4 linked regions of the Astyanax mexicanus genome follow. The protein of the gene in region 1 binds, or shares a complex with, the protein of each later gene. Links are inferred from orthologs where the notes say so. Each region holds a gene or a part of one and is shown on either strand. Other genes may lie near its edges.

Region 1 (7,368 bases):
TGATCCAGAATAATTCTCATTACCGTTACAGTAAATGACGAAGCTAGATCAACCGGTTCAAAACATTTTTTGATGATTAATTTTTGATTAATAGTTCCACAACAAAATCCCATCAACTTAACAGCACAGTCCTTGACACTTACTTTGATCTTTTTATTTATTTATTTATAGTTAAGCAACTCTCATTACCGATACAACATTTGTAAAATATCTTTTAATTTTTTAATTAATGAAAATTATTTTAGAATATGTTTGATCAAAAACTCATGGGGACAACAGGTGAGGGGTATACTATAGTAAAATGAAGAAAAGTTATGATAAGATGTGAAACTTTTGAGAAATTAACATTTTAGATCCATAACGGTAATGAGAACACAATTAAATGGTAATGAGATGCTCTTGGCTAATTTCACACATAACTTAAAATGCTAATATGCTAACAACCTATAACTTTGCCAGCTGTAAAAGCCTTATATTGTGATAATATTCATGAAATAATTTATTTTTATATTTTTAAAAGTAATGAGTATTAAACCATAACGGTAATGATAATACACAGTGTAATTGAGGACAGTTTTAGTAATATTAACACAGATTTCTCAAAGGGAGAGAATAGTGACCAACTGATCTTATCTCCATTTTGAAGCTTGTCTCTGACGTGATGCATCATGGGATAGCTGATCAATTTCAAGGCACAGTGTAATTTTTTTAAGGGGGTAAAATCATGAAACGGTAATGAGAAAAATTGTTCGGACACCGTTATTTTGTTTAAAATCAAGTACATTTTTTGTTCAACACCAAAAATATTTATATTATGTATAAATGGTGATATTTTAAATGACTTTAATCTATTTTATTGATTCGATATGCTTAGTACTTTTAATATGGTTTAACTTAAAATTAGAAAGAAGGGGTACGGACACATAACGGTAATGTGAATTTCCATATATTTTTTATTTAATTTATATAAAAATAATTTTATATGAACAATTGATCCATACAGTACTACCTATTTGCTTTACACACAATATCGGAGTTTTTGTGAATTAAGTACTGATTTAAAAAAAAATTGTCATGGACATGTTCCCTGCAGCTTCATGAGAATCACTCATAACACCGACCAAACAGCTTACAAGGCCAGACCTTGTAACAAGTGGGAAACCGTAATTAGGTCAATGCATGTTAATTGGGATCCAAGCGAACGCTGGGCGACTCGTGAGCGGGAGAACTGGAATAGTATTAACATACAAAGGGATAATGGTCCGATAAATAATCTGATAACCATTGCATTAGAGTGGCAATCTGATCCTAATGGGGAAAAATCATTTTTCATAGGGGTCCGGGTGGATGTAAGTGGTAATGACCCTGTGGGATGGATCAAAGTTAGAGCTACAGATAAACCGACCTATACTGGAGTGTGAGGAAGAGCTGGAGGAAATGCTGGAAACCAACCAGTCTTGGGGATGACTTTATTGCAATGATGTCACTTCCTCCTTTGATAGAGTTCGAATTGTTGGTCGCCTGGTGGCAGAGGGACCGTGGGAGAATTTTTCCTGTCAAAAATTGGTTGGAAGGCTGCCAGAACAGGTTTTCGCTCCCACCGTTAGTAAAATGTTCACTCACATGTTGATCAAGGGTTGAACATATGTAAATACATGATTGGAGGAATTACGGTTTGTCGACGTATCTGTTTGATACGTCGAAAGGGGGAATTGTGGGAAATCTTACGAAGAAACCCTGTTTTACCTTGAATGTATTGACACATATCTCACAATCATGATTACTTATCTTAGTATCTAAAATTACATAATCATCGTGTGAAACCTTGTATTTTATATGCATTAACCAATACTCACATTATATTTGATCATTTTTACTCACAGTGTATTTTACACGCATTTATATAAAAGATTATCCAATAATCACAGTATATTCTTTACATATATAGTAAAACATTGTTTGATCAGGCATGTGACTAACACAGACTCTATTATATGACAGATTAACCCACATTAACATATAACATATGAGATGTAGCTCAGGCTTGAAGTATTTTGTTTACTGCAGGACCCTAACTAACGGTCATTAATTCGGCTGGTACGGGGCTAAATTGCTACAAAAAAGGCTATTAGATCAAAGCAGCCTTTGGATGAGTGAGTGCCTCCCTAAAAAACCTCTACTTCAAAGCGGGGGGTGACGCACACACACAGATAGTGCCAGGATGGAAGAATACAGTCAAGGTCAAACATTAGTGGTCCGGTCAGACACGTGAAACTTGAGTACTAACACGTGAAATTATGCATATTAACATGAGCTAATCGTTAGTAACGCCTCATCAACAGGCTTACGTCATTTTGGGGTATAAACGTGGAGTCAGATCAGGAGGGGGGTCAGAACTTATGCTGGGTGGCTGTTAGACGGTCTTTCATGTGTTAGTTCTCCTGAATATTCAGTTTGTAATAAATACTTGGTTTGCTTTCAACTTCACTCCACTGTCTGACTCTCTCTATCAAACGAACACGCAGGGAGTTGTACCCTGGACGAGAGGTGGGGGTAGCCCACCTCACATTTTCTTTTCTACAACAATATATAATATAAATATGTACATAAATAATAATAATAATAATTATTATTATTATTATATAACCCCATTTAACAAAACATTGCTTCATTTAATTACTTTGAAATGAAGATATTGCTAATTATTTAACATTAAGGGACCTTAGTAGGGTAAAAGGCAAAAAAAAAAAAAACATGACACTTACCTAATAAACATTAGATTGCAAGCAAATTCACTACTACTAGGCTACTTTAGAAAAAGAAAACACGCTTAAAAACTCTAGTTAACTAGCTTAGCTACTTAGCGGAGGACTTGCTGGGTGGATGTAGTTAAATATGATGTCTCTAGATAACTATATCATTGTGATTTAATACAGATTGCTAAATATTAGCTGGCTAGTCAACCAAGCTAGCAGTCACAAGTAACACGCCATGTTTCTTTGCTTCAGTCCCAAATAGGACGCGACTGGTTCTCTAGTGCACTATCTGAGAGTGTATTGAATGGCTTTCTCATTTAAACGTTTCTAGATAGGTGCACTAGATAGGGATCACTGCGCCATTTGAGACTGAGCCGGGGTTCACCTCTCTGGATCTTCCCCCTGGATAATTCAGCAATGTTTTGTAGTTCCTCTCAAACATTGACTTTGTCGTAAATATTTTGAAACCTACTTTTACGTTTCACTCGAGGCTACAACGATTAATTTGGGTTATTGTACTTTTATTATAATTTTTAAATGTATATTAAAGTGGCAGTAAATGAAAAATCCAAGTAGATATTTGAGAATCACGCTTTATAAACTGCTGGCCGGAGGAAGTGGGGGCGTGTAGCTAACGTTACGTGTTTTGGTGCATGTCTGGAGGTCAGAGCTCTGAGTCTATGCAGAAAATACAGTTTATTATTTAACAGCTTTATTCACTGTTTTCTCTCTCTTTTCTCTTTATGGATATTCCAGCTTTATATTCCAGCATGAAGCAGTACACTTTATCAGCAAAAAAGCGTCTGGCCAAGCCGCTGCTGTTCGGCGCTTTACTCACAGGACTTGCAACAGCGTTCTATAACAGGTAAGTTAAATAAATAGCTTAAATGTTAAAGTCATGCAGCCACACCTGTATTATCTGTATTATTATTATACCTCACACTGTCTATTACTGTTCTCAGAAATGTATTATAAACATCTGTAAATCATGTAGTTAATCAATTTGTAGTCCTTCTGTATTTATTATTATTATATTCCTTTTCTGAAGTTGTTGTTGTTATTATTATCATTATAAATCTACCAAAATACTAAATGCATGTAGTTTAGTTGTTAGTTTAGCTTAGTTTAGTTTATTTTGGTTGTGCAAAACATATACACACATACATAAGGGTTAAAATAGAAAATAAAGAAAAATAACTTGCATTTAAACAAATCAATACAGACTGTATAGGAATAGGCTTTAGACTATGTTTGAGTACATTTTGAATTAAATGAACATTGTTGTTTTATTCTATAAACTACGGACATTTCTCCCAAATTCCAAATAAAAATATTGTAATTTAGAGCATTTATTTACAGAAAATGAGAAATTGATGAAATATCAAAAAAGATGCAGAGCTTTCAGACCTCAAATAATGCAAAGTTTATATTCATAAAGATTAAAGAGTTCATAAATCAATATTTGGTGGAATAACCCTGGTTTTTAATCTCAGTTTTCATCTTGGCATGTTCTCCTCCACCAGTCTTACACACTGCTTTGGATAACTTTATTCCACTCCTAGAGCTTGGTTTGATGGCTTGGGATCATCCATCTTCCCCTTGATTATATTCCAGAGGTGTTCCGTTTGGTAAAATCAAAGAAACTCATAATTTTGAAGTGGTTATTCTCATATATTTTTTCCAAAGCTCTATAAACAGTTCATTCATCAGTTAAATATATGTGTTCACCATCCTGTTTTTAAACATTATTTTAAATTTATAGAGAACTACACATTCTACATAGTTCTTCATTGCGGTTACTTCTAACATAAACAATTAGTATGCAATTCTGTAAAGTAGCTCTTACAATTCCAATACCTATATGTCTTATTTAAAGGTATGGTAAAGTGTATTTATATTATAACATTTAAAAACGAACTCAAAACCAGTTGGTCACACAGAAAAGAACATTGAGCTGGATTTTTTTTTGCTTTTAGAAGAGCCATGCCTCTTCAGTTATTGTTATATTATGTTATTGAACCATGTGTGACCCATAACTACCAAATTGTTGTTTCTGCAACCTTTGGACCAGTGTTTCTTAAACTTGGCCTTGCCCTGCAAATTTATTGCTTGATTCCCTTCTGCAACTAGTGATGGTAACAAAATAAATTTAATTAATTGCTGTACTAAAGTACTTTTATGTATCATCCTTTTCATAAAATAATTGTAATAATTTAATAGACATCAGTGACAGACTTTCTGATAAACGATGGGTGAACCAAAAGTGACAGTAGGGTCTTTTACATTAGAGCCTTGTTACAGGGTATTTGTAGATCCTTAAAACTGAAATTGAAATTGAAAGGTTTTTCAATTTATTTTGCTAATTGGTCTTAAAATGTTTCTAATTTGAGAGTACTGTAGGCATAGTGTAAATTTAACAAAAAATCAGTTGGATATCTCTTATTTTCATTTTGTAAACCTGTTAGTTTATGTTTGATTGAAATTGAAGGTGTAGTGTGCTTTAATCATTTGGTACAAAAGTGGTTTAGATGTTGTTTCTTAGTGGTATTAAAAAGTCTTACATTGTATTTGCCAATACCTGCAGATACCAATTGTTAGACAAACAGTAACAGTACAATAGAGCCATAATAGATCATCATACGGTTCCTTTTAACATTTAAGAACATTTAAAGGCAAATACTTGTGTACTTTTACTCAAGCAGAGAAAATTAGGACTTTTACTTTTACTTTGGGTACCTGTACTTTAACTAGAGTATGTGATTTGTGTACTTTGGACACCACTGTCCATCAGTAAATTAACAAGCAGTTGGTATATTACAACTGGGAAATGTAAAGGGCATGTTGCATCCAGGACCAGAATTAAGAAACTGCTTTGGACTAATCCTCACCTTTTTTCTGAAGGCATTTGTTCTTTGAAGACCTGGCAGAAATTCGGGAGCAGGAGCGAGCTCGCACTGATGCCAAACTTTTAGAAGTGTTAGAAAGAAGACAGAAACAAATGGAAGAGCTGGAGTCAAAGAAAAGTGCTGGGGACAGGTGAGCTTATCACACACCTCCAGGCAAAGGTAATCAGAGTGACACTGACGGGGGTTAGGAGTTTAAGTTTTGTGATGAACTGAAAAATTTATGACAGCTATAAAGAAAAATGGTGAATTAGGAATAAAAAAAGAAGTCAACAGAAGGACCTTCAATTTTCTGTGGACTGGAAGCTCAATTTGACTCTGGACACCTCCTCACTACTGAAGTGTAATCACAGGATTGAAGATCTGAAGATTCCCAAGACAGGCGAACAAAAACAAACTGTATTACTGTTGGTTATGTGAGTTCCTAATTTGTTTAATATATAAGCTTAAATAAGATGCATTTTCTCTCTCAGTGTAAAACATTAACTCACAATAAAGATAAGTGTTATAGTGTGTTCCATGATGAATGCTTCTTTTGAAGTGCATTTCCTCTGCCTATTATCTGCCCAATAATGGGATTACAGTGTACAAAATCAGAATACTGCTTACATTTAATTTCTGTAAGAATATCTACAAGTAAAAATCTAAAATATACATGAAAGTGTTTTGAGCAAAAGCTGAACATTTTCAGTGAAAGATGAATGTAAATGTTCACATTAGTGAGAAAATGGAAATGTTTGTATGTTTTTAAAATAAAGAAATCAACTCTTTATGTGAAATGTGTTTTATTGTGTAGCGTTGTACTGCAACACTTAGCAATAAACGTATTAAACACCTATTAATATCAGTTGACATGCAGGGAATAATTGCTGTTAACCAGCACACAACACACCCAGTGTTCTCTGTGGAAGTCATTATGCTTGTTCTGTTGATAGTGAGGCGCAGATTTTAATCTCTGTGCTTTTGCAGTAAGGCATGTCACTTCCTGTCTGTGCAGTCTTGTGTTGTCCAGTGAAAAGGCACATGACTGTACTGTTATAAGCCAGCGTGATAGTTTCTTTGAAACAAATGTGAGAAATTTAAAAAAGCTGTGTGATAAATAGAACAAATGTGTCTTTGTTTCTGCTTGTTATGTGAAACATGTCAGCTGTTATGGCAATGGAATGAACATGTTGAGAAAGGAAATTTAAAGAAATGTCTACACTGCCCTCTGCTGAAAGGTAGTGAATAACACATTTTTAGGATTGACTAAACACCTACTTTCAAAATAGATTTAGGCAAAACTTTTTGGGACAGATTCTCATTGATTTTCCATTGAAAAGCAAATAAATTCTGCGATTGGGTTTAATAATAATTTATTGATGTAAATAATCTGAATAGCTCTTTTAAAAAAAAATAATAATAATTTTGATAAAACCTGTTGAGATGATATTTAGTGATTCATTTTTCTAACAATACAACCTTTTAAACCTCTTATTTAACATTAACTTTTTAAAACACTATCCAATGTTTAAAAAAAAATAATGAATGCACAAAGTGGCCAAAAATAGCACAAACAAACACATTCGTATTATACAAAATTCTATATTTTGATATTTAAATACTAGCTGGGATCCGCAGAAACAATTTCCACTAATTTATCAAAATCTTAGCATAACTAAATTGGTAAAGATGTTAAGAAGGTTAATCAGAGTCGTCTGATGTGCAAC
Region 2 (7,586 bases), about 6.0 Mb from region 1:
GCACATGCCTCCTCCAACACATGTGAAGTCAGACTTCACCTCTTTTAGAACTGCTGCTGATGCAGCATTGCCGAGGAGCATCCCAGCGCTCTCAGAGGAAAGCGCAGCGACTCTGTTCTGATACATCAGCTCACAGACGCAGCCTTATGCTGATCAACATCACCCTAGAAGTGATGTGGAAAAAGAGCACCATCAGCACTTTCAGACTGCTGGACCAGTTGGAGCCCCTTATGGTGTGTATACACACTCTACTCACTCTCCTATATATACAACAGTACTGATCAGACAGATCCTAAAGTCCAGCACTCACCCATCCCTACTGAACACTCGTATCCACGCCTGCACGTTCGGCCCGAGGACACACAGACACCTCAGTGTGGTGAAAGTAGAGAGCAGCACAGCCAGTGAAAACGTCTCCAGCGCTGACCTTTACAATTACATAACAAGGACAACACAGCAGTGTGTTAAATATATGTAACTATTATATCACAATATTTAATTAACAATAAACTTAAGGATACAGGACAAAAAAAATCAGTTTAAAGCAGATGAATCTAGGGATGTTAGCAAGGACTCTGTCTTTACTCTTTAATTACAATAAATATATTACAATATTTCGCCTCCTTACGACTCAGGAATACTACTGAATCTGCTTTCAATTAATTAAAAAAATCTTAAGGACTGCTGTTTAAATACACACTTTTCTTCAAAATGTGCTGTACTTCTTATTGAACAGCACTAATTACATCTACATTTAGTTTAGTTAGTCTTAGTTAATGTTATTCAAGCATTAATAAAAAAACAAATTGATATGCTTAGAGAATAAATTTACATTTACATTTAGGGTATTTAGCAGACGCCCTGATCTAGAGTGACTTACAAAAGTGCTTTGTTGTTTACTTCAAAATATCCATAGATAGTTCGTAGAGACAAGGATCAGGAGATACAGCAAGCTTTGATAATGTTTAGAACTCTAGCAGAATTTTATTGTATATGTATATAAAAAAATGATCAAATCAAATTAAATCAAATGTATTATTTGTATAGGGCTTTTTACAACTGATGTCATCACAAAGCAGCTTTCCAGAAATGTGATCACAGGACAGAGTATCAGGCAGAGTATCAGCTTTTAAATAAAATATATACAGCTCTGGAAAAAATTAAGAGACCACTTTAGTTTCTGAATCAGTTTCTCTGATTTTGCTATTTATAGGTTTATGTTTGAGTAAAATGAACATTGTTGTTTTATTCTATAAACTACAGACAACATTTCTCCCAAATTTCAAATAAAAATATGGTCATTCAGAGGATGTATTTGCATTAAATGAGAAATGGCTGAAATGCCAAAAAAAAAGCAGAGCTTTCAGACCTCAAATAATGCGAAAAAAAAAAAAAGTTCATATTCATAAAGTTCAGAAATCAATATTTGGTGGAATAACCCTGGTTTTTAATCACAGTTTTCATCATGCATCTTGGCATCATGTTCTCCTCCACCAGTCTTACACACTGCTTTTGGATAAATGTATGCCTTTACTCCTGGTGCAAAAATTCAAGCAGTTCAGTTTGGTTTGATGGCTTGTGATCACCCATCTTCCTCTTGATTTATATTCCATGGGTTTTCAATTTGGTAAAATCAAAGAAACTTATAATTTTTAAGTGGTCTCTTATTTTTTCCACAGATGTATATATTATATTATGTTTAATATAATTAATCCCAATAACAAATGTAACTATACACAATAAAATAATGCCATATTGCCCAGCTCAACTAAATGCATGGGAAAATATGATACGGAACATCTTATGTAAACTCTAACAGCCTGAGGTCTATGTTTTGGTTTAACAGCCTAATTTACATACTGCGATCTACACAACAAAAGCCTTATTTACACATAATACTCACTCCAGCAGCGGCGCTCCGTACAGAACAATCACCGTGTGGAAGAAGAGACACGACAGCAGCAAATACACACAGGATCTGATCAGCTTAGACAACTGAAGTAATAAAAAAAGAAGAAAAGAAATGTTATAAATAAAGTATCAGATCAACATATCATCCAATGAGTTGTGTGGATTATTTATTTATTATTTAATTTACTACCTTATAACTCAGTGTGTTCTTCTTTGTTGGTGGACTGATGCCCAGAAGCCAAAACACTGCGATGTTGACCACAGCAACAGAGCCAGCAACAGAATACAGCCAGATTAGGTGCGTCCCGTACACGGAGAACTTCTCCACCAGAACGGCCGGCATCACTGTGGCCATAAAGATGGAGGCGGCGATGATGGCGTGGGCCGAAGCCATCCCCCTGATCTCCACGTCCCACATTATTCAGGATATTCTTATTGAGCTATGTAAAAAGAAAAAAAGCATAAATTCAAAAGTGTTATTGATTAAAATGCACAAAATGTGTTTTATTATACAAGTTACAGAATTTGGAAATCCGCAGTAGGGGTGGGCAATATTGCCCTAAACTAATATCAACATTTAAATTTTCTTAGCGAATATAACAAAAGATTTAAAAAGAAAAAAAAACATTTTATCTGTTTCGTAAACAGTAACTTACCAAAACCTTGATTTCGTGTCAAACATTAATACTACCACAATTGTGCAGCATTTTAGTGCATGTATATAAACAAATAATTACAAGTAAATTCAGTAAATAGCAAAACAAATTTAAAAAAAGTCAAAAATATTGCTATCCCAATACAGTGTTTTTTATAGTCTTAAAATAGTTAGAAATATTAATCCACAAATATGGCACAACTGATGCTCTCAAACACAGTAAGAGGCAAATAATTAAAGTAATTAACTCTTGATGAGTTCAGTACAGCTGTTAACTGAAAGCCTGAATTCCAGGTGACTCTACCTCATAAAACTGACTAAGAAAATCCAGCCAAGATATTCAAAGCTGTCATCTAAGCAAGAGGAGCTACTTTGAAAAATCTAAAATAGGAAACATATTCTGGTTTATTTGACTCTTTTTGTTTACTACATATTTACATATGTTTTTCTTCATAGGTTAAGTGACTTTAATATTAATCTAAAATGCAGACATTTTTAAATAAAGAAAAACTACTCAATTTAAGGTATGTCCAAAATGTCCACTTCTACTGTATGTATACAAATTAAATTAAATTAATATTAAACATATTGTGACACAGGTACATGGGTAATTTAATGGCTTTAATATTGCTAAATAAAAAGGTGCAATTAAAGAACGCAATAAATAAGTTGTACAAAAACATTTTAAAACGGTGTGCGGTATGTATACAGTAAACGTGATGTATAATTTATACATACATACATACATAATACATACATTTAAAATATTAAAATCATCAATAAATAAAATAAAATTCAAACTTGCTCTTAGTATCGAACATTGATGCAGAAATGAACATAGAAACCTAATAATTGTAACACTATACTGTACGAACCAATATGAATCAGAAGAATACACAATGGTTCGTACAAAAAGACACAGTAATTAATAAATAAGCTGTAAAATATATAATATTAAATTAAAATATTATGCATACAGTGGAATTAGATTAGATAACCCAGATGTAGGAACAGCAGTCAGTACTTACTGATACAGGTTTTCTCCAGACTTCTGCTCTTCTGAGGCTCGCTGTGTTTTTATTACTGCATTTGATAAAACTAACCTAAAACTAACATCAACGTAGAACATGAAATATTAAACTATGAGCTTTAGTTTAATGGTTCAGGATGTTTCTATAGAGAGGAACGACATGACCGACTGAATTAACTACAGCGAATATCCGGCAACACCGAGCAGTCTATCAGCGGGACACAACAAGGTTAAAGCCCCACTCTGTCAAAATAAAAGTCTCAAATATTCTCATTATATTCTGTAATAGTTTACTATTATAATGTTCTACTAATTCAATAAATATTTATTTTTAATATTATAATGATAATAATTCATATTTACTGTATACGTCTAACATTATAACGACAATTACGATTAATGTACATTTTAAGCATTATAATGATAATTAAATTGCCTAAAAAGCATGTTTCTAATAAAATAATAACAAAAAATATTACTGTCTGTTTTTAACATTACACTGACAAATAAGATTACTAAAAATCATGTATGTTCTTTCTTGAATTGTATTGAATATTAATTATAATACTATCACTTTAAACATCTGATTTGGCAGCGTATTTATTTTATGAAACCAACGTGCACACAACAATAGTGCTATATAATATATCGAAAATTCACAAATATACACAGTTTAAAAAAAAAACAATTACATTTTTAAATTTGTCACATATTTCAATGAATAGTGTAGATGTAATTTGCCGTTTTATAAATAAATAAGCATGTAAATAATTAAAAGAAGAAAAAATATATAATATTAAATAAAATGAGAAAATATTAAGGATTTTAATTAAAATTAACGAAATCAAATTAGTAATTTTTAAGAATAGTATAAATATAATTTGATCTGTAAAAAATAATAACAAAAAAATAAAATAAATATAAATTTAATTTGTTATCGTTCTTCTGTGAACGTTAAGCTGGGACTTTTATTGTAAAGTTAAGGACTTTTATTGTAAAGTAAACGGTTGCTGTATTCTGGAGCTGCGCAGTGTGAGCAGTTACAGCTGCTGTTTACGGGTTTTAGATTGAGGATTGTGTTTAACGGCAGCAGGATGGTCTGTGATAAATGTGAGTAGTTTTATATATGTAATAAGACCGTATATTAATTATAATTCAGTAATTTAAGGTGATTAAATCGGTGAATTTCGGGTTACAGCTGAAAGTGTCCCGTTGTTTCCTGGTGTTGTTTAGACTGTTAGCTAGAGTTAGTGTTAGCATTCCGGCCCAGATAACCCTTCACTGTTATAACCTGCGTTTACTGTAATAATTTTAGTTTACCTAGTCAAATAAACGGTTCATCTTCTTAAATTACTTACCTACACATCATATTTCACTATATATACAGATAAACTGTTTAGTGAAACTTATATTAGCTTTAGTTTAACTGTAAACACTAAACACAACACAATATAAATTATTTAGTCTGTTTTGGGTGCCCTTCTTTCTGTTATCTAATCTAGCGTAGTTTAACTTAGCATAGCCAGTTTATATAATAAATTAATTATTATATATATATATATATATATATATATATATATATATATATATATATATATATATATATATATATATATATTATATAGATGTATCACACACAGTGATCTATTTTAAGCGTTTATTTCTTTTATTGTTCATGATTATGGCTTACAACCAATAAAAACCTCAAAATCAGTGTCTCAGAAGATTAGAATATTACATAACTAGTGCAGAAAATGAAATCTGCATCTCCATCAAAGTTGTCAGCAGAGGGAAGCATGAAGTGCTGTAAGAATTTAGACTTGATAATAAAACACAGTGGATCAACACCAGCAGATGACATGTCTCTCCAAACCATCACTGATTGGTGGAAACTTCACACTAGACCTTAATCAGCTTTGAGACTGTGTGACTCTCCACTCTTTCTCCAGATTCTGCTCTCTTGATTTACAAATGAAATGTAAAATTTACTGATGATCAGTGATGGTTTGGAGGGACATGTCATCTGCTGCTGTTGATCCACTGTGTTCTATGAAGTCTAAAATCAGTGCAACTTTTGTAGAGAGGTTTTAATTTTCTTATTATTCGTTTTCTTCCCAGGTGAGAAGAAGCTTGGTAAGGTTATCACTCCAGATACCTGGAAGGATGGTGCACGAAATACAACAGGTACAGCCTGCTTAATAAAACATTATTCAAAATGTTATTTTTTTTATTCTCTGCTTATAGTTAATACATTAGTAGATCTTTGACAAGTAAAAACAGCCACAATATAACTAATATGTTTGTTTACAGAGAGTGGTGGACGGAAACTTAATGAAAATAAAATGCTGACCTCAAAAAAAGCCAGGTATGACTATTACTTTTATTTTTATTATGTCTAATTTATTAGTTTATTTATTTGATTACTAATTTAAACCATTGATTACATTAAAGTAAGCATTTGCTTGTATTTCCTCTGTTAGGTTTGATCCCTATGGAAAGTCTGGTTTCGCCACCTGCAGAATATGTAAAAGCTCTGTCCACCAGGCTGGATCTCATTACTGCCAGGGATGTGCTTACAAGAAAGGTAAGTTTAGGAGCAACATGTCACTGAATGTTTCAGACATGCTAAGTGGAGTAGGGATATTTAATTATTTTTGTTGATTACAGTTAGGCCTGTCACGATAACAATGTTTTGTGAATGATATGTTGGCCCAGAAACTATTGCGATAAACGATATTGTTGGCATTTTAAGACCATTAAATGGCACTTATATAATAACATAATATCATAACAAAGGAATTACACCCTTTTAAAGACTATACACATTGCGAAGTGTTCAGGCAGGGGAAGCGTAGGTCCCACCCCACACTATGATGTGCAGCCTCAGTTTGTCCCAGCTGGCCCACATTGGACCGGCATTAAGATCCTGCCTGAGAGATATGCTGATGGTGAGAGGAAGGCTGAGGCAACATGAACCTAAGAAACACTAAAGTCAAGTGACTACAGCCGCACTGGGCCGTTACTATATGTTTCTTCATGTTGGTTTGGGTGTTGATGGAGGGCATTTTTCCTAATGAAGGTACGTTTTGAGTTCATCCACTCCCTGTGTCTGTGACTCTCTGTGCTTCCGCAGTACCCCGCGTCACGGTGTCACAATATATGTGCATTTCGTAAGTGCAAACAATATGGACGATATAACGATTATTAAATTGACTAAGGCCATGTATATTTATTGAACGATAAGTCGATAATGTAATTACTGTGACAGGCCTAATTACAGTCAATATTATACATACATTCTTTTTATTGATTTTACTATACATTTCTGCCTTAAACCTTAATACTAGTTTCTCAAGTGTAGAGAAAGAGAGGGAGAGAGACTGCACAAGTGAGCGAGAGACAGACAGACAGAGCAAGGTAGACAGCGCAAAGGAGAGCAAGCGAGAGGGAGAGACAGCGCAAGTGCCTAAGACATTTCAGCACAGTGGCGGTGTGTGGACAATTTGAAAGATCTGCATTTCTCTCCGCTCTGCATTTGGTGCGTTTATGAGTGTTTCATTCAAAATGATCAAGAACAGACCTTTTTTTTTTTTTTAAACCATTTGATTCTTGGTAGTACCAAGACATTTTGGTCGGTGCCTTTTTGGCATCGAATTTCAACACCCAATCGTAGTTTACATGAGGTTACATGTTTTCTGTGAGGTTTTATTCCCATCTGAAATGGCGTATGTTTTTTTTTTTCGTCTGTCCTTTCTATGAAAATTTTAGGTAGAATTATCTGCAGATTTTTTCACAGAAGTGTCATTTTGCAAACCACTGCAATAAATCATAAGGCTGTGATTGTTTGTGTAAACAATGTTTTTATTTGTTACAGGGATCTGTGCCATGTGCGGGAAGAAGGTTCTGGACACCAAGAACTACAAACAGACCTCAGTGTGATTGGAATTCTGTTTCATAGACAGACAGTTCATAATGTTGGGAGAGGTGAGG
Region 3 (7,598 bases), on another chromosome or scaffold:
TAAACATTATGAAAGTTCAATACTGCATTATAATCTTCTATCTTCAAGCCAATTCGCTCAGGGTGTGTACTTTCTCTCCTTCTCTCTTTCAATATTGAGATAAATGGGAAGAAATATGGCCTGCCCTCTTGATTCATTTCATACAGTTTAATCAGCATTCAGTAAAATGAGTACTTCATTTTCTCTAGTCAGTTAAATGCACACTAAGAAAAGCAAGTACAGATTTGTTTTTAAAAGAGTACATCAGGGTAGCTTTCAGTGAAAGTCTTTGAAAGTCTTCTGATCACAGCAGAGATTGAAACTGGGCCTGTAATTTTCTCAGAGGATAAGGGAAAAAACTCAGAGGAGTACCTGTGCAATAGAGAAGTAATCAAATGCCTCATATTAATTTAATCCCAATCATAGCTTAAAACTAAAACCAATGGCTGTGTTCTAAAGCACACACCCCTATACTTCACATCACACTACATCACCATTACCAGACCACTGCATTCACAAGTATTGTATGTGAGATATAGCTAGTAAACTGATGAATAACCGCTTCGATACACAGAGGGCATTATTACAATTACAATATTGGTGTTGGATCAGTGACCTGGTAGTACATTAAATATACAGCTCTAGATAAAATCAAGAGACCACTTCAGTTTCTGAATTAGTTTCTCTGAAACTAATATAGGTATATGGTTGACTAAAATGAACATTGTTGTTTTATTCTATAAACTGTGGACAACATTTTTCCCAAATAAAATGATTGTCAAGTAAAGCATGTATTTGCAGAAAATAAGAAATGGCTGAAATGATAAAAAAGATGCAGAGCTTTCAGACCTTAAATAATGCAAAGATAACAAGTTAATGTTTACAAAGTTTTTATAGTCCAGAAATCAATATTTGGTGGAATAACCTTTTCTTTTTAATCACAAGTTTTTATATATCTTGGCATGTTCTCCTCCACCAGTCTTACACACTGCTTTTGGATAACTTTATGCCACACCTGGTGCAAAAATGTAAGTTTGTACTGACTAGAGAGGAATGATACAACACAACAGAATGTCCAGTTTAGCTTGGTTTGATGGCTTGTGATCCATCCATCTTTCTCTTGATTATATTCCGGAGGTCTTCAATTTGGTAAAATGAGAGAAACTCAGAATTTTTACGTGGTCTCTTATTTTCTTCCAGAGCTGTGTATCGCTTTAGCATCAACATGTGTACATGCTCAATACTCACATCACAGGATGTCAGGACGATCTGAACATAAAGCTTGTTTAATACACAAGGACATGCTGCTCTGTTTTCCATGATATCAGAGGTAGAGGTAGATTATATCTGCCTAGTAGTATTCATTTTACTCCACTCTTCGGTACGCAGAGATAATTATTACAATTACAACATTGGTGTTGGATCAATGAACTGGTAGTGCCTAAACTAGACAAACTAAATCTAGTTGTTTTTAATACAGCTTATAACTTAGCTGTGAAGGTTGTAATTAATGTAAAATTTATTTTCATTTGAATACCTGTGTCCAGTAATAGCACAAATAACTATAATTCGATAAAACATGAGCTAATAACTATAATAACTTGTTAGCATAATTCGGTGTATTTGAGTCACTTTATTCTGAGAGAAAAGTGTAGAAAGTTGTAATTTTGCCGTTTAGATCATATATCTTAACTAACCTAGCTACCACTACCATCTACCACTCTCACACACACACATTCACTTTCTCTCTCTCTCTCCCTCTCACACACAGACACACACACACACACACCCTCACGTAGTACCAGTATTTAAATTAAAACTCACCTGCATGGCCTCTGGCACACACACATTCTCCTCAGGCAGCTCAGCCGTTGAAAAAGAGCCCGTTTAAACGCGTCTATATACATCGACCCCGAACTAGACTTGACCCCTAAGCGGTCAAAAAGGGGGAAAATCGGGTTTGTGTCGAAGAAAACGCCTAAAAATCACGAGAAGTCTTCGCTACAAAAGGCTGGTCAGCGGCGGTCTGCTGGAAACGACCGTGGATAACTTTTAACCGCCATAGAAGTGAGCGGTCGGTCGCTCGCTCGCGCTGCGTGTCAGTGAGAGAGTGAGTGCGCGCGAGCGAGCGCGTGCGGAGAGCGAGATGCGCGAGGGACGCTGGCCAGCTGAGCACGAGACCGTCAGAGTGATCTGACAGCAGAAAAAAAGCGTTTAAACGCTCCAGACTCTCCGACAAACAGAAAGAGAGAGAGAGAGAGAGAGAGAGAGAGAGAGAGAGAGAGAGAGGGGCAGGGTGGCAGTGGTGGGCAGCGATACACGCTATCAGAAACACTCGAAGATAAATCCTATACTGAGCTTTAAACACAGCAGCAGCCCGCCGGTACCCTCCTGTCCTCAACCACATCTTCATCGACCGACTTTCGCACTCTTTCACACTGTCAGACACACACACACACTGTCACACACATTGTTACACTGTCACTGACCCCCGTCCGGCTCAGCCTTCAGTCTTACCTTCAGGTCTTGCTCCCTCCTCAGCATGCTGTCAGTCTGTCCCCCGGGGCTGAAACTGGCCTTATTTAACTCTCCACTCTCACCGCTCCGTCTCCTCTGAGGACACGGGACGCTTACATGATCCTCCCGGCGCCCGAGGACGCAGCTCGGTTAGCTGTAGCCTGAAGCGGCGAGGTGTTGAGGCTGTGAAACTCGGGAAACCGTGTCGGGGACGTCCGAAGGGTCTCACAGCTCCGGTGTAGCCGCGGCATGCTGCGACCCTCCCGGTGTTCAATACAAAAAAAGAAAAGGCTGAGCTCACAGTCGCATAGTGGAATATCCCTCAGGACCCAAAACAGTAGTCAGGATCAAGAAGCGATACCGGTAGAGGCAGAGAGCAGAGGGGTGGAGGGGAGGGAAAAGAAGTAATAAGGTAGAAGATCCGCCCCTATAGTGTAACAACGCGTCAGGTACTTTAGCAGTTTCATTGAAATTGCTGAGCTGCACAGAAACAAAGCTGTAAATACAAGGCAAATGTATGAAAGTGAAAAAAACGCGGTGAGCGTAAAGCATATCAGCAATGCTCTCTTGGCTTAAGGCAAAAGTGGACAATTTGGCCAAACCAAACACCTGAATCAGGATCAGCAGGTTTCAGGTGTTCCCGAGTCACACAGTATGGGCTCTGAATCACTCTCTGATTCACTCTGTTTTCTGTCACGTATGATCTTAAATTTATGAATCCTCAGCACCTGTATTTGTTTCTACACAAATCTACCTATACATAAATCAGAGAATATTTATGCATATATACATCATTCTGCCTTACTCAGAAACAGATCACACTCACATTTACTGTTTACTGTTATTGACAAGCATTAATACAACACAACAATACACTAATTAATCGTAATAAATAACGATTTAGATCTTGCATCTCATAGTTTATAAAACGTGCCTTAGAATGCATGTTTTAGTGTTTTAAAGTGTTTTAAGCATTACTCAAGATTTAAGCTCAAGTCTCCCGGAAGTTGCGGGAGTCTACCACATATCAATAACGGCTCCCTGATGCCTGCAAGTCAGATAAAATCTCCCGGTATTTAGAACTAGTGGCCCAAGAGTGAACACAAATGTGCACACGGGCCCCCAATCATGTGTATGAAGCAACTAAATTACATTGTTTGGAATGGGGCTGTCGGGCTAAGTTTAGGTTTTAGCCTAGCAAACTTACAATTTTGTGTTTTTACTCTTTTACACCTCTCTTAATGTCCCTTCCCCGCCACAGTGTGGAAGATGGCTGTGTCAGAAAACTAACCATCAAAATAATAAAAATGAGAAATTATTAACTGTGTTGTAATCCTGGACTAAACACTATTGTATGTCAATTTTGAGTGTGAGGAAATGTTAAGGGTTTGGGAATTGTGCAGATATTTTGTTTGATGTTCATTTCTAAGAATCATGGTGTGTAACAAACCTTTAATATTTAACTATGGCAAAATACAGTTTTCTGTTCTGTGGCACCTTTAAGCTCAGTCAATGTTGTAACTGTTTGTTTCCTGTGTTATTGCCATTTATCATATTAATTTAGCATTTCTTCAGTTGAATGTCAAACAAAAACTCAGTTGGTCTATTTATCATAAAAAGCAAAAATGTCCAAAATGAACATACTTGGATTTCTTTGGTGTTTTTCTTCTCTTTATAATATTGGGCTTTAGTATTATTTGACTACATGTTCCTAAAGCAAATTTAAATACTGCCATTTGGAAAAGATATCCAACATTTAATGTTTAACAAATGTAGGCATTTTAAAATGTCAACAGCGACTGTCACACACATCTATATTTTTGCTATATTTAAATGTATAATTCGTCTGTATTATTATGTATTCTATATGTATCGGGGTTAGGCACGGGACATACATTGTATTTTGGGATTTGTTTCTTTTTCTTTTAAACTTTAGTTCAACTTTGAAATAAAAGAGAAAATGTCCTGGATTTTTTTATTTTAGGTGGCTGGAATGGCCTTCCATGGTTTTCAGTCTTTTTAATTCCCACAATTGTTTTTTTTCCCACGCATCAGAACGACATACTAAACTAAAACTACATTTCCCAGCATCACTTGCGCGCACACCCACACATCAAACATGGCTTCGCCGGAGAGGCAACGAGAAGCGGAGGCTAATGCGGTCCCTGTAAATATAGAGAGCGGAGAAAGGAAAGCGGGCCCTATTTCTTTTGGGTTTAGTAAAACTCTCACTAAGATTAAGTCTGAGAAGCCCGTGGAGAGAGATTATGTGGTGGAGGTGGATGGAAAGGAGCTGAAAGGGTAGGTTAATGCTATAAGCTAACTGGTTAATGCTAACTGACTGGAGCATATAGTGCCGGTTAGCCAGGTGCTAATAACTCCAGCTCTGCTGATTCTGATGCTAATACTCAGCTAAACGGGTTTACCAAACATAGTAAAGCCGACTTAACTGGTGCGTCTTACAAAAAAAACGTTCAGCTTTTTTGTAGATTGCTGTCGTTTAGACCAGAGTTTCCTAGACCAGGTAATGGAGGACCCCCATACATGCACGTTTCGGTGTTTACCTTGTTTCCAAAGTATCTAATCCAGCTAGGTACTAAAGTCAGTTACCAAGGTGTTCATCATTTAAAGATTGTTAGTCCTTAAAACCACTAGCTAACCTGCTGGGCAGAAGGTCTTCCTAAACCAGGGTTGGAAACCTCCAGTAACCTACATTTTAACCTACATTATTTTGTGTGACTTTTTTTGTGTGATTTAACCTACAGTGCTTTGTGTGAAGTTTGTAGATGTTACTAAATGTTTGATATAAAATCTTGTGTAGAACGACGCCAGTGGAGAAACCATCAGAGTTGATTATTCCACTTATCCAGAAGAACCGCTGGTACCGAGAAGAAGGAGGAGGAAAAAAGAATGACAAAGGACCCAACAAAGACATCTCTGCATCTGAGAACCAGGACTCTGTGGAGTCTCAGGCTGTCAAAGAGCTTATTGAAGGTGTGTTTATGCTCTTGTTAGTTTGTTTTCTTTGCTATTTTATGCATTGGAGTTGTAACCATACTAGTGCATCTAAAACAAAATAGAATATCATTAAAAAGGTACTTTTATTTTAGTAAACTCTTCTAATATATATATGTTTAAGCATTTATTTCATTTGTTGTTGATGATTATGGCTTACAGCCAATGAAGACCCAAAAATCAATATCTCAGAAAATTAGAATATTATATAAGACCAATTGGTACTTTTGGCAGTGTGGGCAGTATACCAAGTCCTGCTGTAAAATGTCAGCAGAGGGAAGCATAAAGACTTTCTAGGAAAACACTGCACTGACTTTGGACTTAATATAACAGTAGACCCACACCAGCAGATGACATCCATAACTGATTGTGGAAACGTCCCGCTAGACCTCCAGCAGATTGGACTGTGTGTCTCTCCGCTCTTCCTCCAGACTTTGGTCTCTTGATTTCCAAATTAAATGTAAAATTTACTGATGGTCAAAGATGGTTTGGAGAGCCATGTCATCTGCAGTGTAAAAATCGTAAAAAGAAAGAAAACACATTGAGGAAAAATGACGTATGACCAAATGTTTGACTCTTACTCTATGTTAACAAAATCAAACAGCATCATATCAGCACTGACCCACACATTCCTGTAATTTTTTTTCGTCCCACAGAGTCTCAGAAGCAACAGGAGAGGTGGAAAAATGGCACTCAGATTGACCCAAACCTCACAATCCCTCTGCTCATGCAGAATCAGGTCCCTGAGGGCTTTGAGGACGGCGATCAAATCAAAGTGGATCTCAGACCTGAGTCGGTGAGTCGGGAGTGGCGGAAAGTAGTTAATAAAAACTGGACTAATTGTCTAAATCATTTAAACCTGCTCACAGGGGGCTCGGTTTGTCACATCTCGTCAAGCTATTGTCATAGAAGAATAAGGTGCTGCCACAAGGATTTGAATTCGGGTCGAATACCAGATCTTACTGCTTGCCATCAGCAGCCACTGTCCAAGAAAGCACAATTGACCTTGCTCTCTCTGGGTTGGTATATGGCTCTCCCTTACATTACCCTTAATCTGGTGTTGGTAGGTAGCTGTTGGATCAGAGCTGGATCGTTGAACTTTCCTCAGAGCTTGCTGGATAGCCAGTGATGCTTTGGATGTGTTGGAGGAGGCATTTGCAAGTCTATGCTTTTTAGTGTTGGGGGCATTGCTAGTGACGGGAGGAGTTACATGTACAGGGATTGGATAATTGGCTATCTAAATTGATGAGAAAAATGGGCTAAATTTTTTAAATAAATTACAGTATTTTTCACACTATAAGGTACAGCAGATTATAAGGCACACTGTATTATAAGGCATATTTTAAGATACAATATAAGGAACCTATAGGGTAGCTTACTAAGGTAAGTAAAGCTAAACTAAGTAAACAACACTATTTAAATATAAAAAGTCAAATTTCAATCTAAAAACTGTTTATTTGGCTGAGTAAATCGCTTTCAACAGTTAGCTTAGCTTCCCAAAATTTCTCCAGGACTAAGGCTGGAGCATTAGCATTAGCGGCTATAACAGCAGTGCTAGCTGGGGTTAGTAGCAGGGTACAGGCCTTTAAACGGGGAAATAGCGGGAAGCAGCTAATGCTACTGCTACTTCAGTCCAGATGCTGGACTGAAACTAAAACTAAACTAAAACTTCTGAATAATACTGCAATACGGCGGAGTGGCTTTACTGCTCCTTACAACCTTAAAATCTACACACAAGGTGCACTGGATTAAAAGGAGCACTGACGATTTCTGGGAAAATTAAAGGATTTTAAGTGCGCCTTATAGTTCACAAAATGCGGTATAAAAAATAATAATTAACTTCACTGTAACAGTTTCTGAATTAGCATTCATTATTTTATAAAAAAAAAACATAGCATTAATGGTTAACAGAAGTATTTGGGTCAGTGTGTAATGCAGGAATCAGCTAAACTAGACCTTGGCTAGTTTTTGTGTCTGCTTTTATGTAAAAAAAAATCTGGCTGAGTAAGAGCAGTATGATGGACTGCATTTAGGAAATCTTGGCCCAGTGGTTCTCGTTCGTGGAGGACCACACATTTCCCTGCTCT
Region 4 (7,946 bases), on another chromosome or scaffold:
GCATTCAGGATTATGACCATGACAGCAGACTTTCATATAGTGATTTTGAGAAGTCTGTAAGAGAGGAAAATCTGCTATTAGAAGCTTTCGGAACTTGTCTTCCTGATGCAAAGGTAAAATTGTTAAATTTTACGTTTTGCAATGTTCTGCATGAGTGTCATTATTGTTTTAATAATTTAATATTCTTACTATACCATCCATCTTACTGTAATAATACTTAAAATGACAGTTGTCTGTCTTCAGATTTTTTTTATTTTGACATTTATAGAAAAATACAATTTAATAAATAAATGTGTATTTTTGTTTGTTTTCAGAGGACCCTGGAATTTGAGCAACATGCTTTCCAGTAACAAGTGAATCACTCATATAAAGAAAAATGAACAGTGCTATTTTACAATAAACCACTATTACAGTACATCAATAAAAAATGCACACTGAAGACAAGAGAAAATTATATTCTTCGCCGTGCTTTTACAGCTGTTGTCTTCTTTTCAGATGGAACTGATGCAACCTAAAAAGAAAAAGAGAGACAATTTCAGACATACGTTTTAACTATTCTATAACATTCATAACAGTAAAAAAAAATACTTATAATGCTGACCTTTGACATTGTTTGCCTGATGATGTTTGCCGTTTTGTTTAATGATGCATCTTCCATGTCCATCTTTGGTAGTTCTGGTAGTTTGGGTCCATACAAGGGGGCATTTCTGTCTGCCACACCTAACAAGTCTGTACTGTCCTCCATTTTCCTTTTCCTGTTTTCTAATTGTGCAGTCCTTGGTATAAACCTTGGTGCAGTGCTTGGCGGATGTTTGGGTTTTTTGATAATACTTCTCTCTTCGTTGCCAAAGGTAGAACCAGAAGGCAGGTCTGACCACTGTGTGGTCTGCTTGCAATCATCTGGGGCACGGTTACTAGGGATGAAGTTGTGTAAAGATCCCATTCTATCTTCTGTAGGTACACTGCCTTCATGTACAGTCTTCACAGACTTAAATGAGTCCTTAGATGAAAAATAGTGCTGATGAACTCTTTCATGAGGTGGTAGCGGCAATAATGGAAAGCTAGAAGATGTGCTGGAACTACAATTGTCCTCTTGGGAACTTCGAGGACATGTCCTATCTTCATACACTGATGATGGAGCTGGTGTCTCTGAACTGGCAGGAGTTGTTTTCTCTGTAGCCTGTTCTTGCTCACATTCCCTTTCTGTAATAAAGGTGCAGTACAACCAGACAAACTGGTTAATTACATGGATTGCAGAAACAAAAATGTGTGTGATGCAAGCGTACAAAATACCTAATCTTTGGGTTGTTCTGTAAACATATCTTCTCCTGTCCTGTAACTTCCTTCTTGTGTCTTCCACAGTCTCATGTTCAGGGGCATAGCAAACATGAAGCAGACCCCCATAGAAGCTTCTTTCATCTGTTTTTCTTTTGGCAGCCCTGAAACAGACAAAATTACTCAGCTATCAACAGATCTTGGGATATCTTAAAATGTGCTTGAAAACATGCATGATACATCTTAAGAGGCATGTCTTAACCAAGGAGGACATGTGTATACAATGTCCATTTGATAACATCTTAAGAGGCATGTCTAAACCAAGGAGAGTGTGTCAATAGAACGGTCATACTACTTCGAAATACTATCCTATCTATGATGTATAATGGGGATGTGTTTTTTAAATTTTATTTTAATATGGTTTGGCATATGGTTTAATGGCAACATTCAATGAAACTATTTAGCCTAAGTAAAATACATGCACATTACAGGGTTTAAGAAAAATGCTAAATTATTCTTATTTTAAATAAAACACAAGTGACAATTTTAATCTAACCATGCTATCTACTGTATGATTTACATCTTTCCATGTTTGAGGTTTTATTCTCACCTTGCACTTGTAAGCTTTTGGAACTTGATAAGATAAACTTCAGTGAACTGTTCTGCAGGATACTCATCCAGTACTCTGTATTCTTCCACCACTCCATAGAGAGCAAAGAGCTGCACCAGCTCAGTCATTACCCCAACAGCAGGCACTCCTTGCACCAGCAGAAACCGAGACTCTAGGTTAATCGTATAAACCTACAGATTGACAAAGCAGAAGATACAGGATACAGTCAGGATTAAGCCGAGCCGTAGACTGTTTTGCTTTATTGTGGAACATTTCCATTCACAAATATATGCGGCCCAAGATTAGACTTCTTTGTCTGGGAAACTGTCCCTATATATACACCTCTGGAAAAAAATTGAGACCACTTCAGTTTCTGAATCAGTTTCTCCGATTTTGCTATTTATAGTTATATGTTTGAGTAAAATGAACATTAGTGTTTTATTCTATAAACTATAATTCCAAATAATACTGTCATGTAAAGCATTTATTTGCAGAAAATGAGAAATGGCTGAAATAACAAAAAAGAAGCAGAGCTTTCAGACCTCAAATAATGCAAAGAAAACAAGTTCATATTCATAAAGTTTTAAGAGTTCAGAAATCAATATTTGTTTCTCTGATTACTTCTGATTAATTCTACGTGTCCCTTAATTGTTTTGATCTATATTAATTTAGAATGTAGAAAAGACAAATAAATAAACGAATAAAGAAAAAACATTGAATGAGAAGGTTTGTTTAAACGTTTTACTGGTACTGTAGCTATATAATTCAGTATACAGATAATATATACTTCATTATATATTATGTATTGTCTATCTTTCTGTTAACTAACTATAGATTTGGGGAGATTCAGTGATGACAGGGAGGCTCGTGTAGCCAAACAGCTAACTTAAGCTAGGCTAGCAGTCTAAACACTGGGGCTGTAGGCCCGTTATTCTCCTCTCAGTACGGAGTTTCAGTAAAAACAGCTCACTGACCTTCACAGCCTTCAGTCTCCTCCCTTCTCTGTACTTCGGGCGGGTGAGACAGGCGCTCTGCTGCTCGTGGTGTTTGTAGACCTGCGGTGTGTCCCACACAGAGCCCGGCTTCAGAGCCGCCATGATGATTACCCAGCGTCCCCGACAACAGCGCAGAACTAAACACAGACCCAGACCCGAATAATCAATCACAGATAGTGATCCACGTTCAGCGAGAAACACATACTGAAATAAACTGTAATCATGTAATAAAAAATGTTAAATAAAAATTTTAATAAATACAAAAATAGACAATAGTATATATTTTTGTACTAAAATATAGTACAATATATATAATATCGTATCATGAGAAATCGAGGATGTATCATCATTACTTAAAGAACACTGACCCAATCATACATTTTATTACAGAGAGTGATTTAATTAATAATCACTGTACAAAACATTGTGAAAGAGCATTTAATAGCAGAATATGCTACTGCTGATACATTTAAATAAATACTAAATACTGTCTGAATACTGTGCATTGTGAAAATGTCTTTAAATATTGTGTAAAATATTTATCAGTGTGTGAATATGTACAGCATGGGTGGAAACCCAAATTTATACTTTTCATATTGATATCAGAATTGTAGCGTGTCAACCAAAATTAAGAAATATATTTTGTGATGTATGTTTCCCACACTTTTGCCTTAAATATATTCTGAATGTTTCTGTATTCTGAATGTGCAGAGAGACATTTAAAACTATCATTACCTAGATAATCATTGTTTTAATGACAAAAACCTATTAAATCATGTAATATACATGCTAATGCATTTGTGAAATGGTAAGAAAAAAAATCTATTTTAACCTTTAATATTTTTAATAATTTAAATGTCCTACATGTATGAATATTTTATTAACAATATAAACATATACCCTTTCAATTTTATTTGTATTATTTTTATGATAAAAATATAAATGTATAAATAAAAAATATTTAATGTATAAAAAAATATAAAAATGTAAACATATATTTTTAATATTTATTATTTGTGTGGGCAGATTGATCTTTTAAACTATATCACCTTCATGTCACATTCATTTTCTAATGACAGGACCTGTTAAATTCTGTAAGATACATGCTAACACATTTTTAAAAATGATATTTAATTTAAAAATCTTTAAATGTAACATTTTTAGTTCATTTAAATATACATATACCTTCCCTAATTTATTTTGATTATTTGTGACCATTTAAAAACAATATTTCAAATATAAATAAATATTAAAATGTGAAAATATGTTTAAATGTTTATTATTTGTTAGGGCATACTGAGCTTCATATACATTGTAGTGATGATCGCACGCTGGTGGATGGATTGGTCAGGTCTGTCTGACAGTATTGACATGTTCAGCATGGCGCCTGATCCTCTGTAGTGCAGCAGGTCCTGAACACTAGTGCTGATTTATACAGTCTTTCAGCGCTAAAAGAGGCTTTAAAGCTCCTCTTTATGCAATGTTGGGGAACTGCGGAATCCAGCCAGTAACTCTGGCCTTCAACAACTCCAAAAACTGCTTTCTCCACCTGCCATCCAACTTAGTGTCTCAGCTCTCCCTCAGAGAGGTGTGTGTGAGAGTGGGTGTGTGATAGTATGGCTACGCTGCTCCTGCTTTATTAACTTGGGGTGCAGTCTAGTCTAGTCTAACTGTCCTGTTTTTATTGTCATATGCAGTCACAGGCCCTGGAGCTGTCCTGGGGATCATCTGCTCCAGTGTTCCTCAGCTGGATAAGAAGCCACGCAGCAGGTCAGGAGGACAGGGTTGAGCTGAACAGACAGTTAGGGGAGAAACTGGGAGTTCAGGAAGGAGAACAGGTAAACTCTGGAGTTGGATAAATGTCTGTATTACAGTTAACTGTAATTTAAGTTGATGTGATTTGCTTTTTATTTTGTTTTTTTATTTTTGTTTTTGATGTTTTTCAGGGCTTCCTGCGTCCATGTAGTCAGGTACAGTCTGTGCAGCAGGTGTTTGTAGAGCCTCTGTCCTCAGATGACTGGGAGATCCTGGTGAGTCTCATTCACCAAATAAAAAAACACTGCCCACCCACACTAAAAACTGATAGGCTGACTCTTAGAATAGGAGAGTAGGTTAATCAGAACCATCTCTGTTTTGTATTCACTCTGGCAGCTTCTATATGTAAAGGTGTACGATCTTCATTGTCCCATTTTGAAAATTTAATTAAACAGTAAGATTCAGTTAATCAAATTAATTGGATTAACTTCCCAGGTTGGGACCAAGTTTTAGTTTAAGGGTGCTTTTATTGCTTACTAAACTGCTGTGTGAAACCAAAACTAACCGGACCCAATGTACAAAATGTAACAAAGGCACAAACCTCAGTGCAGACTCTGGTCCAAACTTTTAGGTGTGAAAACACCCCAAGATTTAATTACAACTTAGTTACATGTTTAAGTTGAATACAACTTTTTAGACTGTTTTTTCTTTGCTGTTATGTATCTGTATATTCTATAAATTCCACTGTTGCACTGATGCACTATGCTTGCACAGGGTAGCATACAGTACAACAGGTCAGAACATATTTAAAAATAAGTCACTGCTGTAACCATATTGGTTTGCTCACTTCATGTTTTTTTGTTTTGACATGTTCCCTTTTTCTTACACACCTAAACCAAAAGGAACAACACGTTTTGGATAATGTTATAAAGTAAAAAAGTTAGATATTAAAGTTTACTTTTAGTGGAGTTAAAATTAAAATTATTCAGCCATGTTTATATACACACATAACAAAAAAATACTTATATACAGCAACTAATTACATTTACTTCATTACTGCCCTTTACTGATGACACCTAATGCCTTTGTTTTCCAGGAGCTTCACAGCACAGCTCTGGAACAGCACCTTTTAGACCAGATTCGAGTCGTTTTCTGTTCTGGGGTGTTTCCTGTGTGGGTTGACCAACACACTGTCATCTACATCAGGATAGGTCTGTTTCAAACACTTTTTATTAAATACTTCTTTAAAATCCTCAGTTCTGTCTGTAAATTGCTGTACCTCTTGTTCTTGTAGTCTCCCTGTCTCCATCTGTTCCGTATGGTCGATTAGAGCAGTTCACTGAGCTGGTTGTTTCCCCCAAACTCCGGCATGGAGGCAGGCAGCTTGCCCCAGTTTCTCCAGATACAAAGAACCCGGTCTTGCAGAGGCAGCAGAACATAGACCGTGGATCCTCCTCCACACCTTCCTCCACAGGAACTGATTCTTTCTCTGAGTCCATTCACAATCAGCCGGAGCCCAGTCAGAGACACTGGGCTGGAGTACCTGACCTGCAGAGCCTGGTGAGATATGTGTTCACAGGGAAATATGAGCCCGCCAAGGAGATTCCAGAAGTGCCCACTGTCCCCGCAGTCTTCCCAGATTGTGTCCTGAGAGTGTGTGGAACCCCACCCGGAGCAATCAGACATCTTGACCCAAATCATGGAGATGTTCACATGCTGCCATGGGACCAAATACAGTATGACTATTGGAGTACACAACAGCCAGTGTTAACGTATGGTAGAGTTTCTAAAATTCATTCTCCCAAAGAAGTGAGAGAGCAAGCCAAGCAAGCGATGGAGAAGAAAAAGAGTGGAAATAGCTCTCAACCTAAAAAGGAAGCACAGGAACCAGTGGAGGAGTCTGTGGTGGTCAAGATCCTTTGCCATAACACAGAAAAGCTGGAAGCAGACCAAAGATCCTCAGGAATGAGAGAGATTTACTGTGGGAAGGTGTGGGTAAGTGTTATACACTGATACACTTTACTTTTCTAGAATTAGTCTAAAACATTTGTTATAAAAACCTAATCTTAAGTATCTAATGAAAAACATTTATCCCCGTGTGCCTTGTCAAAAATTCTGGATGAATGGGCCAATAGAAATTTCCCAAAATTAGCTGAAATAAACTTTTTTTTTTGTTTTTACATTTACGTCCATTGAAAGAAATTTTTTATTTTTCCCATTTAAGTTGTTGTTTTTATGATATATGTTTTTTTATTGGACAGCAATTGGACTTGTGTACTAGGAAAGTAACAGTGCACATGTTTTTAGATTTCATATGACATAGGGCTGGGCAATATGTTGTGATTTTATTTATTCTAAATTATTTTTGGAAATTATACATAATCATAATCTTTATAATATCACAACTGCTACATAAGTTACCTTTTTTGTTAAATTTCAAAAAAGATTGTGGGATCCTTTGTGTGGAAATCATTTGGTACTCTGTAGATACATTGCAATTAAAGAAGCAGCATAACAACTTTATTTGACCACAAATCAGTGCAATGATGAATAAATAAAAATGTAAAAAATAATACATTTATTTTTTTATTCTATTCTCTTCACAGATCCCAAACATTTTACGATCAAGGCTGAGCATAGGCCTGCATTCTGCCGTGAGAGTTCGTCCTCTAACGTGCACCCCTGCAGTTGCACAGGCTGTCTTACTTCAGCCACTACGAACACTAGTAAGTGTATCTTTCTCTCTTAACTTGAAATATCAGACAAACGCAGTTCATTTATAATAAACTGTTAATAGTCGGACTAATAGCTGAATCAGAGTAGAACACGTGCGTGTAAACGTGTAAAGGTCATTCTGAATGCAATTTCTATTTGATTGAACGAGGTGGATAATCCTTTAAATAATCCATTAAATAGAACAAAAAATAGCCTTGTAAACACATGTACCCGATTAGATCTCCAGTCCGAAAGTAAATATTGCGCATGTACATGTGCTGCACGAAGGAAGTTTATAAAGCTGAACATCACTCCTCACTTTTATCCACTGCTTCCTAGTCATGGGCGGTGGGACTGGCATCCAGCTCACTTGCCTCAGAATGTTCAAAGACATTGAGGACGTAAGTTCTTCGTCTCTACCCTTCTTTAAAAAGAAACTGTGAATTAGGTTGTTATGGAGTCCGCCATAATTTTAACGCTGTTAGAAAAAACAAGCTTACCAGCTGCAAATTCTGGAAACATAACTAGTTATCCAGTTACTGTTGCTCCCCTCACGCTGGCTGGCATCACGTGCGGCCCGTTGTCCTTGTCATGGT

What was found.
Region 2: armc7 (region 1) and cript share a complex: the UniProt entries of both Homo sapiens proteins name them as parts of the minor spliceosome. The link is inferred for Astyanax mexicanus from reciprocal best matches to the Homo sapiens genes ARMC7 and CRIPT.
Region 3: armc7 (region 1) and gpkow share a complex: the UniProt entries of both Homo sapiens proteins name them as parts of the minor spliceosome. The link is inferred for Astyanax mexicanus from reciprocal best matches to the Homo sapiens genes ARMC7 and GPKOW.
Region 4: armc7 (region 1) and rbm48 share a complex: the UniProt entries of both Homo sapiens proteins name them as parts of the minor spliceosome. The link is inferred for Astyanax mexicanus from reciprocal best matches to the Homo sapiens genes ARMC7 and RBM48.

What each region holds. Positions count from the first base shown.
Region 1 is NC_064422.1:33,672,992-33,680,359, forward strand, and holds the start of armc7 (armadillo repeat-containing protein 7), read right to left. Parts: upstream 3,015-7,368; 5' UTR 2,766-3,014; intron 1-2,765. UniProt on the Homo sapiens protein: As a component of the minor spliceosome, involved in the splicing of U12-type introns in pre-mRNAs.
Region 2 is NC_064422.1:39,625,848-39,633,433, reverse strand, and holds the start of cript (cysteine-rich PDZ-binding protein), read left to right. Parts: upstream 1-4,574; 5' UTR 4,575-4,690; coding exon 4,691-4,706; intron 4,707-5,714; coding exon 5,715-5,780; intron 5,781-5,906; coding exon 5,907-5,961; intron 5,962-6,076; coding exon 6,077-6,180; intron 6,181-7,470; coding exon 7,471-7,535; 3' UTR 7,536-7,586. Other genes in the region: pigf (phosphatidylinositol-glycan biosynthesis class F protein), read right to left, coding at 311-427, 1,904-1,995, 2,102-2,329. UniProt on the Homo sapiens protein: As a component of the minor spliceosome, involved in the splicing of U12-type introns in pre-mRNAs. Involved in the cytoskeletal anchoring of DLG4 in excitatory synapses.
Region 3 is NC_064419.1:20,705,442-20,713,039, forward strand, and holds the start of gpkow (G-patch domain and KOW motifs-containing protein), read left to right. Parts: upstream 1-4,587; 5' UTR 4,588-4,615; coding exon 4,616-4,797; intron 4,798-5,317; coding exon 5,318-5,490; intron 5,491-6,167; coding exon 6,168-6,307; intron 6,308-7,598. Other genes in the region: membrane-associated guanylate kinase, WW and PDZ domain-containing protein 3, read right to left, coding at 1,804-1,886. UniProt on the Homo sapiens protein: RNA-binding protein involved in pre-mRNA splicing. As a component of the minor spliceosome, involved in the splicing of U12-type introns in pre-mRNAs.
Region 4 is NC_064410.1:48,089,892-48,097,837, reverse strand, and holds rbm48 (RNA-binding protein 48), read right to left. Parts: upstream 3,017-7,946; 5' UTR 2,983-3,016; coding exon 2,860-2,982; intron 2,077-2,859; coding exon 1,886-2,076; intron 1,440-1,885; coding exon 1,294-1,439; intron 1,204-1,293; coding exon 602-1,203; intron 512-601; coding exon 452-511; 3' UTR 351-451; coding exon of another isoform or gene 315-350; 3' UTR 279-314; downstream 1-278. Other genes in the region: efcab1 (calaxin), read left to right, coding at 9-113, 315-350; pex1 (peroxisome biogenesis factor 1), read left to right, coding at 4,361-4,468, 4,578-4,718, 4,827-4,910, 5,732-5,846, 5,930-6,630, 7,242-7,361. UniProt on the Homo sapiens protein: As a component of the minor spliceosome, involved in the splicing of U12-type introns in pre-mRNAs.